Linked DNA regions of Lepisosteus oculatus. The protein of the gene in region 2 binds, or shares a complex with, the protein of the main gene of each other region. Links are inferred from orthologs where the notes say so. Each region holds a gene or a part of one and is shown on either strand. Other genes may lie near its edges.

Region 1 (3,752 bases), on a different chromosome or scaffold from region 2:
CCCGCACGGCCGCAGGCGGAACTGGCGCGTCCAGCCTCGCCGCACACCTGGCCGCTGCCGTAGCGGTGTACACGTACTGCGCCACACGCGAACACTCTCCCCGTTTCACATGGTCAGAAGTACCTGGTCGTTTTAATTCGCTCATACCGTGGGCGCACACGCATCGCCTGACATTATAGATAACAAACGTACAGTGATTAAGCACACCACGATTCGTCATTTGGCAGAGGCCTGAGCAGTCTTCGCTAGGTATTAAAACAACGGAAAAAATACTGGAAACAGTCATGAGAAGGAACAAGTAATAGGTTTATTCCATGCTGAAAAAAAGAAGAAAGAGAACACAGCGTTTCGGCCTGGAGCCTTCTTCAGGTGTGGCCGAAACGCTGTGTTCTCTTTCTTCTTTTTTTCAGCATGGAATAAACCTATTACTTGTTCCTTTGCAGCCTACGCATGCTGACGCAGCTACCCACCTGAACTACAGTCATGAGAATACTTATTAATACTGTCAACTTAATCAAACGCCGCGGTCCAATGTTTTGAATTCGTCTAAAAGATTGGATGTTTACACGCCAGTTGGAAAAAGGCTTTGAGGTACACTATTCGGTGAAGTTAATTATTTTGAAGCTCCTCTATAGTTAAATTCCCAGCCTCCCTCACTCTCACTCTCACTCTCACCTCTCACCTGTGATCTGAACCTCACAGTGCCTTCTTCCTTTCTTTCTTACCAAAAATCCAAACACACATTGAAAATCTACCTCTACCATACATGTCAAAAGCTCACTCCCCATCATTTCTATCCCTTTTATTCTGTTGATGCATATTTTTGCACATAACCTGTTACCCTTTTGTTATTTTGCACATTGCCTGTTGTTGTTTTTTGCACATTGCCTGTTGTTGTTTTTTTCTATTTGTACTATTTATTTCCGAGAGCTAGCTAAATAGCATTTCGTTATACCATATACCATGTATATGAGTGTAATGACAACAAACTTGAAAACTTGAGCTGGTTCTCGTGCGAGCAGAAGAACATCACACCGCTCTGTTTTCTAATATACATTAGGTGACGGTCGGGTGTCGATTGTTTCTGTCTGATTTGCACGTTGAAGTTTTCTTCGATTGGTCGAGTCTACCTTCCTTCAAACATGGCGGCGGCTCCGGCTACAAACCCTTCACAATTGCTCCCGCTTGGTATGTGAATTAAACGTGAAGCAAAACATTTTAACGCGAAGTTGTTGAAGTACTAAGACCTGCCTAAGTAGTACCGTCGGTGGTGTACATTTTACAATCTAAAAAATATACCACAAGCGTCTATAGCCTAAGACTGCCAACTGGCCGGTTTTAATAAGGACGTGCAGGTGGTCCGTGAATTAACCCAATCGTTCGTTTTTGTTCTTTTTGAATTATGAATTGAAGTATTGAGTTGCAGTTATGTATCTGTCCCTCATTGCACTGTAATGCTAAGTTTGTCTATACGCAACTTTCCTGTAAATTACTAATTTTTGTTTACGACTTGGCCCATTTCTAAACAGTCCAAACACGGTACTGTCTCAATCTTTGCTGTAGTGTTTAGCCGAATATTTCCCAAAAAGTAAGAAAGAACAAAAAAAAAGTAGAAGCGTTCGTTGACGGTTTATGTTCGCTAATGTGAAATTATACCTAGCTATGTCCATCTAGTCATGTTATTAATTAACCAGATAAGGCAGTAGGGAACAAACGATCATTTCCATGGTGCAATGGATCTGTTTATAAAGCAGGGCATTTACTGTAATAAATGTGTAATATGCCAATGTGTAATATGTGTACACGGCATCAGCGTCTCTAACACTCCAAGTTTCCGCACGAAGTTGTGGATTATTATTTTCTTGTAGATGAAACAATTCCACATCATATTGTATGGTTATTCTTTGCCGTCTCACGCTGTGTGTTACAGCAATAACTTCCTCGATTGTGTCGACTTACATCATTAAAACATTGTATTTATCGTGAGCAGAGGAAAATCCATTTTTTTATATAATTTTCCTATTTTAGAAGAAAAAATGTCATTTATTTTGCTAATGAGGTCGATGATATCCAATGAACTTGTTTTCGGAGCAGTTTATTCTTTGATCATGTTACTTGTTTCGAATATGTTTAACCCCCGTATCCTTGAAGTCTGTTCATGAGCACTGCTGCTGTCTAAAAATGTCCGCTTAATTTATATTTGTGTCTGTGAAGTAATCAGTTCTAGTGATTTCTCCTGTGTCATTCTGATGTTTTTATATAACAAGGGTAACTTACCATTACAGTATCCTAGAAGTGTCAGCAGATGTGGCTAAGTTCTATGAAACAGCTGAAATCTTATCACAGTATTCCTTGTTCTCTCCTCTCCCCTCCCGTTATCTTCTTTAGAGCTTGTGGACAAATGTATTGGTTCCCGGATTCATATTGTGATGAAGAACGACAAGGAGATTGTCGGCACTCTGTTGGGATTTGATGACTTTGTCAGTATCCTTTTTACAGTAATATGGATGTTGTATATCATCACATGTGAAGTTAAGACTAACAGTTTTGATCAATAGTAATAAGTAATGGAGCTAGTTGGTTGTTCAATATGTTGTCTTTTTTCAGCATTGATTTCAAGATTGCACATCCAAGAAAAACCTTTTTACCAGATACAGACACATTTTGTAATTCAAAATGGGTCATAAACTGGTGAATAATAGAATCTTTGCTTTTCTTTGGAATGGCAGATTGTATCATGACAAAAATATACAGTCTGGTGGAGTATTCGCGTATTGTGTTGCCTGAGATAAAATTCCATTAAAGTGAAGCAAGGTCACATCATAAAAATTCAACTTCTTGCAGTAAGATTGTACTTGGCATATGTTTTACGAAAGCTTATGCACAATGCAGTGTCTATAACAGAATTGTTTTACGTTAAAATATAATAAGATGTAAAATACTAAATCTATTGCTGAAAACTAAAAACATAACAATTTATGGTTTTAACTTTGTAAAACATGCTTTCCTTTACTTGCATTCTCAGACATGGTGCTTGAAGATGTCACTGAATTGTAAGGTTTTGTTTTGTTCATGCTAAAATAAGAAATGCTATGATGTTCAGATTGTTACAGGCAAAAATCTTTAATTTTCTCATTGAAAATGAGCACTGAATTAATGCATATTCAAATTGCAATTTGTTTTCTTACATAAGAAAGTCTGTTACTTTATTTACATCTTGACTCGTGCATTTGAAGAGTTAAATTCTGATCATAATGTAATTTTTTTACAGAACTGGAGTACACTATTTTAATAACTTCTAGCTTTATTGCCTTTAGACATTAGCAAAATAAAATATAAAAAAATCATAATCTTAATAAAAATGTCAAAAATCAACAACAATGTTGTATTATTAATTTCAATTAATAATTCATAGTGTCATCTTAACACAATTCACAAATACCTTTCATTACTAAAATCGCTTGTGTTCTCATTTCAGAGAATTTGATTTTTGTGAATTGCTTATGGGTACAAAGTTGTTTATTTGTGTTAGTTTTCTTTTCATTTTAAGGCTGTACTATTAGTGATTATCGATTAGTAGCATCGTTTATTTCAGGAAGCCTTGTTTTTTAGTGAGATCACACCAGAGGGAAGGAGGATAACCAAACTGGATCAGATCTTATTGAATGGAAACAACATCACCATGGTAAGTGTGTTAATAAAGGAAAACCTAATGGTGATACTTTTCTTGTGATTTATACAGTTTAGGCAAT
Region 2 (3,752 bases):
GTAAGGTACGAGTTGGCAATGAGAGTTGTTGACTGTGTTGCATTTCGGGCAACTTAACACCTGAATTATAAATTAGCAGGATAAGACGTGACGTTCTCCAAATATGGTGAGAAAATAAATATGAATATCACTTGCTTCAAAATGCATGGCTGAAAAAATTACCAACTAATAAAATAAACTCTGATTCAATGACAGGGGTTTAACTGCTTAATTTTTATGGAGAATTTTCATGCAAAGCCCCATTACCGACTGCTGATCTGCAATAGCAAGAATGAGAAGGCTGCTTGTCAAACTCCTAAGCCATTTTACAAGAGTTGTCAAGAAACTATCCAACAAGGATAGCTTTTTATCACTCAGAAATATTTTGCAATGACACTGTAAAATACAAATACGGTAAAGCTAACCTTTCACAACCTGGAATGAAAAAATGATTTTCACTATTGCCACTTTTACATTTGTGGATTTAACAGGGAGAAGATATACATAAAAATAGAATAGAGAAACAAAACACCTACCTGGTCAACTGAATGAAGTGTCCCACAGATACTATAGAAGAGCACACAATAACAAAAAAAAAACATTATAATTAGATAATTTGGGCTCCATAAAAAAATGCTTAAAGGTTTTTTCCTTGTGACTTCATCTTACACTGTTTAACAAAAATGTTGCTATGGATTATGGAACATAAGCTAATTTAATTGCTGTACTGCATCAAGTTCATACTGCCATTGTTGAACTATTTTGTGTTTGGTGGTTTGCTAACACATTTGAAAGCGCTGTCTTAATAAAAACCTTAATATACATTCTAAGCATTCATTGACATTGGAATCGTCTTTTGTATTTCTGATATAACCACCTCATTCCTTCAGGTCTTTATGAATGCTGCCCTTTAGTATTTTAACTTTCTGCTCTGACACACCTATAAGGAGGTACAAACAATATTGTACCTGGACCTTGCTTTCTCTTTTTTTAAATGGATATGATGTGCTGTTATCTTCTGTCATTTTATTCTAGACATTAAGAGATCTTAGTTAAATTCATTGGAGATAACAGGCCAGTGTAAACCCACTATGACAGAGGAGGCCGATCACAGTCCTGCAAGGCCAGTGGATGTACAGGCTTTCGTTCCAGCTTGGCTCTCATCCTGAACAATAAACTCCTCCACTTCCGGAAACTGAGGCAAAACCTTGTTTACAAATTCACCGACTGCCACAACTTCGAAATTCTCTTTCTTTTGGCCAGTGCGGCCCTCACCTTAAATCATTTTTCAGCTCCACCACGACGTCCTTCCCCACAAGGGACTTAAAAAACGAGTAGAATAACTGCAGAGGGAAAGAAAAGGATTGTGAAACCCCCTGCCAGCAATCCTGGCCAAATCACATGAGAATCTACACGGGGTCACTACAAAAAAAGGCAGACTTGGAATTGTGTCTGTAAGAACATCAGTAATACTTTTGAAACATGCCTGGGATAGCACATTAATATCGTGTGATTCTTGCTGTAAACAACACAATTCCAGAATTTCCTTCAGTAAAGGTACCAAAAAGACTACGGGAAAGCAAGAGACGGTCTGGAATAAGTCTGATTTGCAGATACTGCACCGATCAAGCTCGAAATTGAATAACAAGAAGCTGGGCGTTTAAGATGCCTTTCGGGGCAACCTGTTCGGCTCAGCATCTTTCCCTAGAGCACTAAACTAGGCCTTGCCTATCCCAAACCCATGTCCTCAGCGTCTACACTTTTCGTTAGAGATGGGCTCTCCGGCGCTTTACTTAATGAATCATACCTACCGTGTACGGGCGCTAAAAGTTCGCAAATTTTAAGTTACTAATAACAGTTAAGCTAGTAATAGTAACAGTTCAACTGGAATATTCAACAGAGCGAAAAACGTGATCATAGTTTAAATAGCTCAAGTTATTAAAAAAAAAAGCGGAATCGGAATCACCAAGAAACATCCGCGACACACAGACCCTTCGAAACACGTAACGAGCATCTACTTAAAACAAAGCTTTCCTGCGGATTAGACGCACATCCAGCTGCAAAGAGAGGTGAATGCAAACCGTACGGCTGTTCAAAAAACAAGATTTAGCTTTATTACAATGCTCTTTCAAATTTGAATTGGTTGCCAATGGATTAAAGAAATTAATTCTGGTATTTTTTAAAGATATTTTGACGAAACGTTTGAGTAATTTTAATCTCGTCACGGTGCCGGTAGTCAAAACCATTTTCAGAAATTAATTTCTGATAGTGAAAAGAAATGTACACAGAAAGCATTAAAAACTGTTCTCAAAATTGAACAGAAAAGGGATCTCACCATTTTCACTCACACTCGACCCCCACTGCGCCTTTACTCTCCGTTTACATCCCAACGAGAACGGGATTAGAAGTCCTACTCACCCATTGGAGCAACTTCTTTGACGTCATAAAAATGAGCCGAAATGATATTCACCAATCAGCTTTGTCCGCTGGGCGACACGTGGTATAACCATAGAGTTTATGGAAGAAAGAGTAATATTTTATTATCACATGCAGATTGCATCGCCATATTGGTAGAGAGGATACAGGAATTGTGTATTTTCGAAGGGACCTACACACGAAGAATTATATCAGGAAGCTTTCAACAAAAGGCTTTAACTATTATGTCAAAAAGTTACCAAAATAAGTTCTTAGTTATTTTAGGTGTAGTTAATTTTGTTACTGTTATCTGTATCAGTAACTGCAGTGGTTTGTTAACCATTAATAGTCTCTGTAATTAAAGACATGCATAACATTTGAAAATTGAAAACATAAATCACGTTTGCTTTATTGTTTATAAAATATCGCTTCTATTTAGCTTAAAATCAAATCAATACATTTAAGGTAACGAAGATGTATTTAGTATATGTACTAGAACAAAAATGTATTTTTTTCTGTGCATTTTTAACCATAAAAATATTTTTTATTTTCCCACAAATATAAAATATAAAATACACAGTAAAACCTACAACTGTGTTGGTGTTTGTGCTGTGTTCTGTAATGATTTAGACCCTTTTGGAATACGAAGGGAATATTGTTATAGGTTGAGATTTTCTGCTGCTCTGCCCTCTATTGATGAAAATATATACGTATCGGTGTTTCTTAGTTAAAATGAAAAAAATCAGTTTGGTCATTCCAGTTCTAGTTCTAGTTAGAATACCTGTTGCTGATATTATTTCTGGCGATTTTGTTATTCTGAGAAGTGTTTTCACTTAATTTCACTTATTCTTTATTTAACGTTATTGGCTTTACGTCATTATTATCGGTGCTACTTTTTTGGAATATGAGAGTCACTCATTTAATTAAGGTCGGAAAACCATTCAAAACACAGTAAACAAAATGGGGCTCGTCCGGGATTCGAACCCGGGACCTCTCGCACCCAAAGCGAGAATCATACCCCTAGACCAACGAGCCCGCTAGCGCATATGTTTCTAGAAAGCCACATATAAAATAAAATACGTTAGGTGTAAATTAATGGGGCCCAAATGATTGCACAAGATTAAAACACCATGCATGGTACCATAATAATCCACATTTCATTCATATTAAAACAACAATTAGATTGAGTTATACTGCATAATTGCAGTGGAAGTCTCTATAATTTATGGCACTAAAACGTTTGCAGGTAAATCGAGAGTCACCAATAAAAAAGTGAGCCGCAAAGCGTTTAGCAGCCGAAAGGACGGAAACAAAACATCAATCGCTGCATCAAAAGCCTACATCAGCGCTTTGCTTTT
Region 3 (3,752 bases), on a different chromosome or scaffold from region 2:
GCGGCCGGCCGGCCGGCCACACGGACCTGTGGTCTTGCGCTTGTCCAGCCCCTTGCCGACGCAGTGCAGCGCGGCCGTGACGACGGTGGGCTCGGAGAAGCCCAGCACCTTCTTGACCGTCCGCTCCACCCAGGGGCGGAGCTCCTCCAGCTCCCGCTTCGACAGCGACATCCCAGCCCTGCGGACACAGAGCACCCGGTCACTCGGCTCGTGTACATCAGTCAGTCCCTCGGTCCAGCGCTCCCTCGGTCCAGCGCTCCCTCAGACGGTCCCTCAGTCCAGCGCTCTCTCAGACGGTCCCTCAGTCCAGCGCTCTCTCAGTTGGTCCCTCAGTCAGTCCCTCAGTCCAGCGCTCTCTCAGTTGGTCCCTCAGCTGGTCCCTCAGTCCAGCTCTCCCTCAGCTGGTCCCTCAGTCCAGCTCTCCCTCAGTCGGTCCCTCAGTCCAGCTCTCCCTCAGTCGGTCCCTCAGTCCAGCTCTCCCTCAGTCGGTCCCTCAGTCCAGCTCTCCCTCAGTCAGTCCCTGTCCAGCTCTCCCTCAGTCAGTCCCTCAGTCCAGCTCTCCCTCAGTCGGTCCCTCAGTCCAGCTCTCCCTCAGCTGGTCCCTCAGTCCAGCTCTCCCTCAGTCGGTCCCTCAGTCCAGCTCTCCCTCAGTCGGTCCCTGTCCAGCTCTCCCTCAGTCAGTCCCTCAGTCCAGCTCTCCCTCAGTCGGTCCCTCAGTCCAGCTCTCTCTCAGTCGGTCCCTCAGTCCAGCTCTCTCTCAGTCGGTCCCTCAGTCCAGCTCTCTCTCAGTCGGTCCCTCAGTCCAGCTCTCTCTCAGCTGGTCACTCAGTCCAGCGCTCTGTCACACGGTCACTCAGTCCAGTTCTCTCTCAGCTGGTCACTCAGTCCAGCTCTCTCTCACACGGTCACTCAGTCCAGCTCTCTCTCACACGGTCACTCAGTCCAGCTCTCTCTCACACGGTCCCTCAGTCCAGCTCTCTCTCACACGGTCCCTCAGTCCAGCTCTCTGTCACACGGTCACTCAGTCCAGTTCTCTCTCAGCTGGTCACTCAGTCCAGCTCTCTCTCACACGGTCACTCAGTCCAGCTCTCTCTCACACGGTCACTCAGTCCAGCTCTCTCTCACACGGTCACTCAGTCCAGCTCTCTCTCACACGGTCACTCAGTCCAGCGCTCTCTCACACGGTCCCTCAGTCCAGCTCTCTCTCACACGGTCACTCAGTCCAGCGCTCTCTCAGCTGGTCACTCAGTCCAGCGCTCTCTCAGCTGGTCACTCAGTCCAGCGCTCTCTCACACGGTCCCTCAGTCCAGCGCTCTCTCAGTCGGTCCCTCAGTCCAGCGCTCTCTCAGTCGGTCCCTCAGTCGGTCCCTCAGTCCAGTTCTCTCTCAGCTGGTCACTCAGTCCAGCTCTCTCTCACACGGTCACTCAGTCCAGCTCTCTCTCACACGGTCACTCAGTCCAGCTCTCTCTCACACGGTCACTCAGTCCAGCTCTCTCTCACACGGTCACTCAGTCCAGCTCTCTCTCACACGGTCACTCAGTCCAGCTCTCTCTCACACGGTCACTCAGTCCAGCTCTCTCTCACACGGTCACTCAGTCCAGTGCTCTCTCAGCTGGTCACTCAGTCCAGCGCTCTCTCACACGGTCCCTCAGTCCAGCGCTCTCTCACACGGTCCCTCAGTCCAGCTCTCTCTCACACGGTCACTCAGTCCAGCGCTCTCTCACACGGTCACCAGAGGCTCCACTGCCAGCATGAGCTCAGAGAGCCCCAGCGCGCCCCTCAGTGTATCCACTCCAGATCTTACAGTGTTGATAGTCCGCCTCCCAGCTGCCCCATCCACCCCAGGACTTACGCCCAGCAGTGCGCTATGGTGCTAACTGTGATGCTACAGGAAACATACTAAGCATTTTTGCAATTATTATACTATCTGTTCAATTAATTATACAAGAAAGTTGTCAACGTGACACATCCATGCCCTCGTACATACACGACCCTGTGCACTAGGAGTCTCAAGTCCTGCGGTTACAATGTCTAATTATATCCGGGATATAAAAGTTTCGCTGATGAACATCAACAGTTCTGAAACACTTCCTAAAACCCATATTCCCCAGTAACTACACCGATAAACAAAAGTACGACGATAATGTGGCGCGTTAACACCGTCCGTTCCTCTTCCAATCGGTACTCACCACGCGGGTTCACTTGAAATGGGTAAACGTTGACTTTTTAAGTAAAATATCAGCAGTTTCGTTTTAAAAAATATTACTATAATCGAAAAAAAAAACTCAACAGTAAAATAAACCCGAACAGCTCCCGAAGAAGAGTGAACTCTTCGGCTCGCACGGCGCGACACCAACAACGTACAGGGAACGTCCGGCCGGAAGCGGAAATGGCGTCACGAAGCCCATCGTCCCAAAGGATGTAAACGAAGCCGTAGTCCTTGTCACATGACGGGGGAGAGCATTCTTTTTAAGCGACTGCTTCTCAGTGACGTTTCCACGTTATCTGCAGTTAAAGCAGCTGGGCAGTGGCATTTTAGTGCAGTCTGTTGTTTTACTTAGCTTTTGCGAATTTTTCGATTTCAACGACCATTCACACCCTGCAAGTAACACTCCGGCCCGCTAGCGGGGGATCCTTCATTGGCAGGGTCAGCTTTTCACATCCCAGTCAACCCATACAGTCGGGCGTGGTTACTGGAAATATTTTTTGTGAAACAGATGCCTCGCATGGTAGTAGCAATTACAACGCGGCTTAAAGTTTTTAAAACCCATAATTAAACGAAGGTTGCAACAATAGAAAGACGGAAAATTTTCTTCTCTGGTAGTTCGAGGCGCAGTTCGTGCATGCGCCACAAGAGGGCGGTGTGACTGTGTGAAAAGCGAGCAGAAAAAAATGAAAAGTACAGATGGATGACCGACACTGCACTGCACTCCACACGTACAAACGTGCGCTGTGAGGTAGCAATGTTGACCCTGGAGCCACCCTGTCTCGATATGGAGTTGAGCTTGACTTGATCTGCTTCTCCTTCACTCCTGAGCTGGCTCATACAAAGGAAGTCCTCACTCCTGCACAACCTGAAACATGAATCAATCAAGTGAAATGGCCGACAGAAAACGGCAGTCCCCACATTCCATCTCTACAGGCAAGGACACGGTGAACGAGAGTGATAGTAGGGCTAAAATAACCTTCTCAATTTGCCATCAGAAAGATTTAGAAAATATTGAATCTGCATTGTCTATCGCTTTTCTGACCCAGTTCTGCTTTCTGAAGGCTAATGAAGTGATTGTTCTGTGTAGACTCGTTTGTTATTTTTAATGGTAAAACTGGTTTTGATTTGACTAATTCATTGTATTAGTGTTACATCTGCAGTATGTCTTGTCTGGGCACCGGCTGCCGTGTGAGATAAGCATGATCTGTGGGAGAACCCTGTCTCGTTACTGAGAGTGGGAGCCCAGGCCACACGGATAATTAAACTGACCGCGGTCCCCTCCGTTCGTCTGATGAGAACACATCAGTGGCATCGCTGTCTCGCCTGCAGCCCCTCCAGCCCTTCAGAGCTGGGAGAGCTGGAGCAGCTGGCCTGCGGAGAGGGGGCCAAACTGCCCCGGAGCTCATCGAGGGGCACAGGAAGCGCTTGGAAGTTCTGGCTCCAAAATAAAGGTTCGGTAATCTTAACAGTGAAAGAAAGAATTGTGGAGACTAAATACTTTGGTCAATTTCAACTTAGTTTTTGAAAAACAAATATCGGCAC

Evidence for each region.
Region 1: smx5 (region 2) and lsm5 share a complex: the UniProt entries of both Homo sapiens proteins name them as parts of the precatalytic spliceosome. The link is inferred for Lepisosteus oculatus from reciprocal best matches to the Homo sapiens genes LSM2 and LSM5.
Region 3: smx5 (region 2) and prpf3 share a complex: the UniProt entries of both Homo sapiens proteins name them as parts of the precatalytic spliceosome. The link is inferred for Lepisosteus oculatus from reciprocal best matches to the Homo sapiens genes LSM2 and PRPF3.

Annotation. Positions count from the first base shown.
Region 1 is NC_090701.1:6,001,194-6,004,945, reverse strand, and holds the start of lsm5 (U6 snRNA-associated Sm-like protein LSm5), read left to right. Parts: upstream 1-1,083; 5' UTR 1,084-1,142; coding exon 1,143-1,188; intron 1,189-2,277; coding exon of another isoform or gene 2,278-2,280; exon of another isoform or gene 2,281-2,360; intron 2,361-2,388; coding exon 2,389-2,484; intron 2,485-3,025; coding exon 3,026-3,053; intron 3,054-3,612; coding exon 3,613-3,685; intron 3,686-3,752. UniProt on the Homo sapiens protein: Plays a role in pre-mRNA splicing as component of the U4/U6-U5 tri-snRNP complex that is involved in spliceosome assembly, and as component of the precatalytic spliceosome (spliceosome B complex).
Region 2 is NC_090708.1:10,044,354-10,048,105, forward strand, and holds the start of smx5 (smx5), read right to left. Parts: upstream 2,393-3,752; 5' UTR 2,318-2,392; coding exon 2,315-2,317; intron 1,323-2,314; coding exon 1,255-1,322; intron 547-1,254; coding exon 516-546; intron 1-515. UniProt on the Homo sapiens protein: Plays a role in pre-mRNA splicing as component of the U4/U6-U5 tri-snRNP complex that is involved in spliceosome assembly, and as component of the precatalytic spliceosome (spliceosome B complex).
Region 3 is NC_090722.1:7,132,519-7,136,270, forward strand, and holds the start of prpf3 (U4/U6 small nuclear ribonucleoprotein Prp3), read right to left. Parts: upstream 2,392-3,752; 5' UTR 2,191-2,391; intron 179-2,190; 5' UTR 172-178; coding exon 27-171; intron 1-26. UniProt on the Homo sapiens protein: Plays a role in pre-mRNA splicing as component of the U4/U6-U5 tri-snRNP complex that is involved in spliceosome assembly, and as component of the precatalytic spliceosome (spliceosome B complex).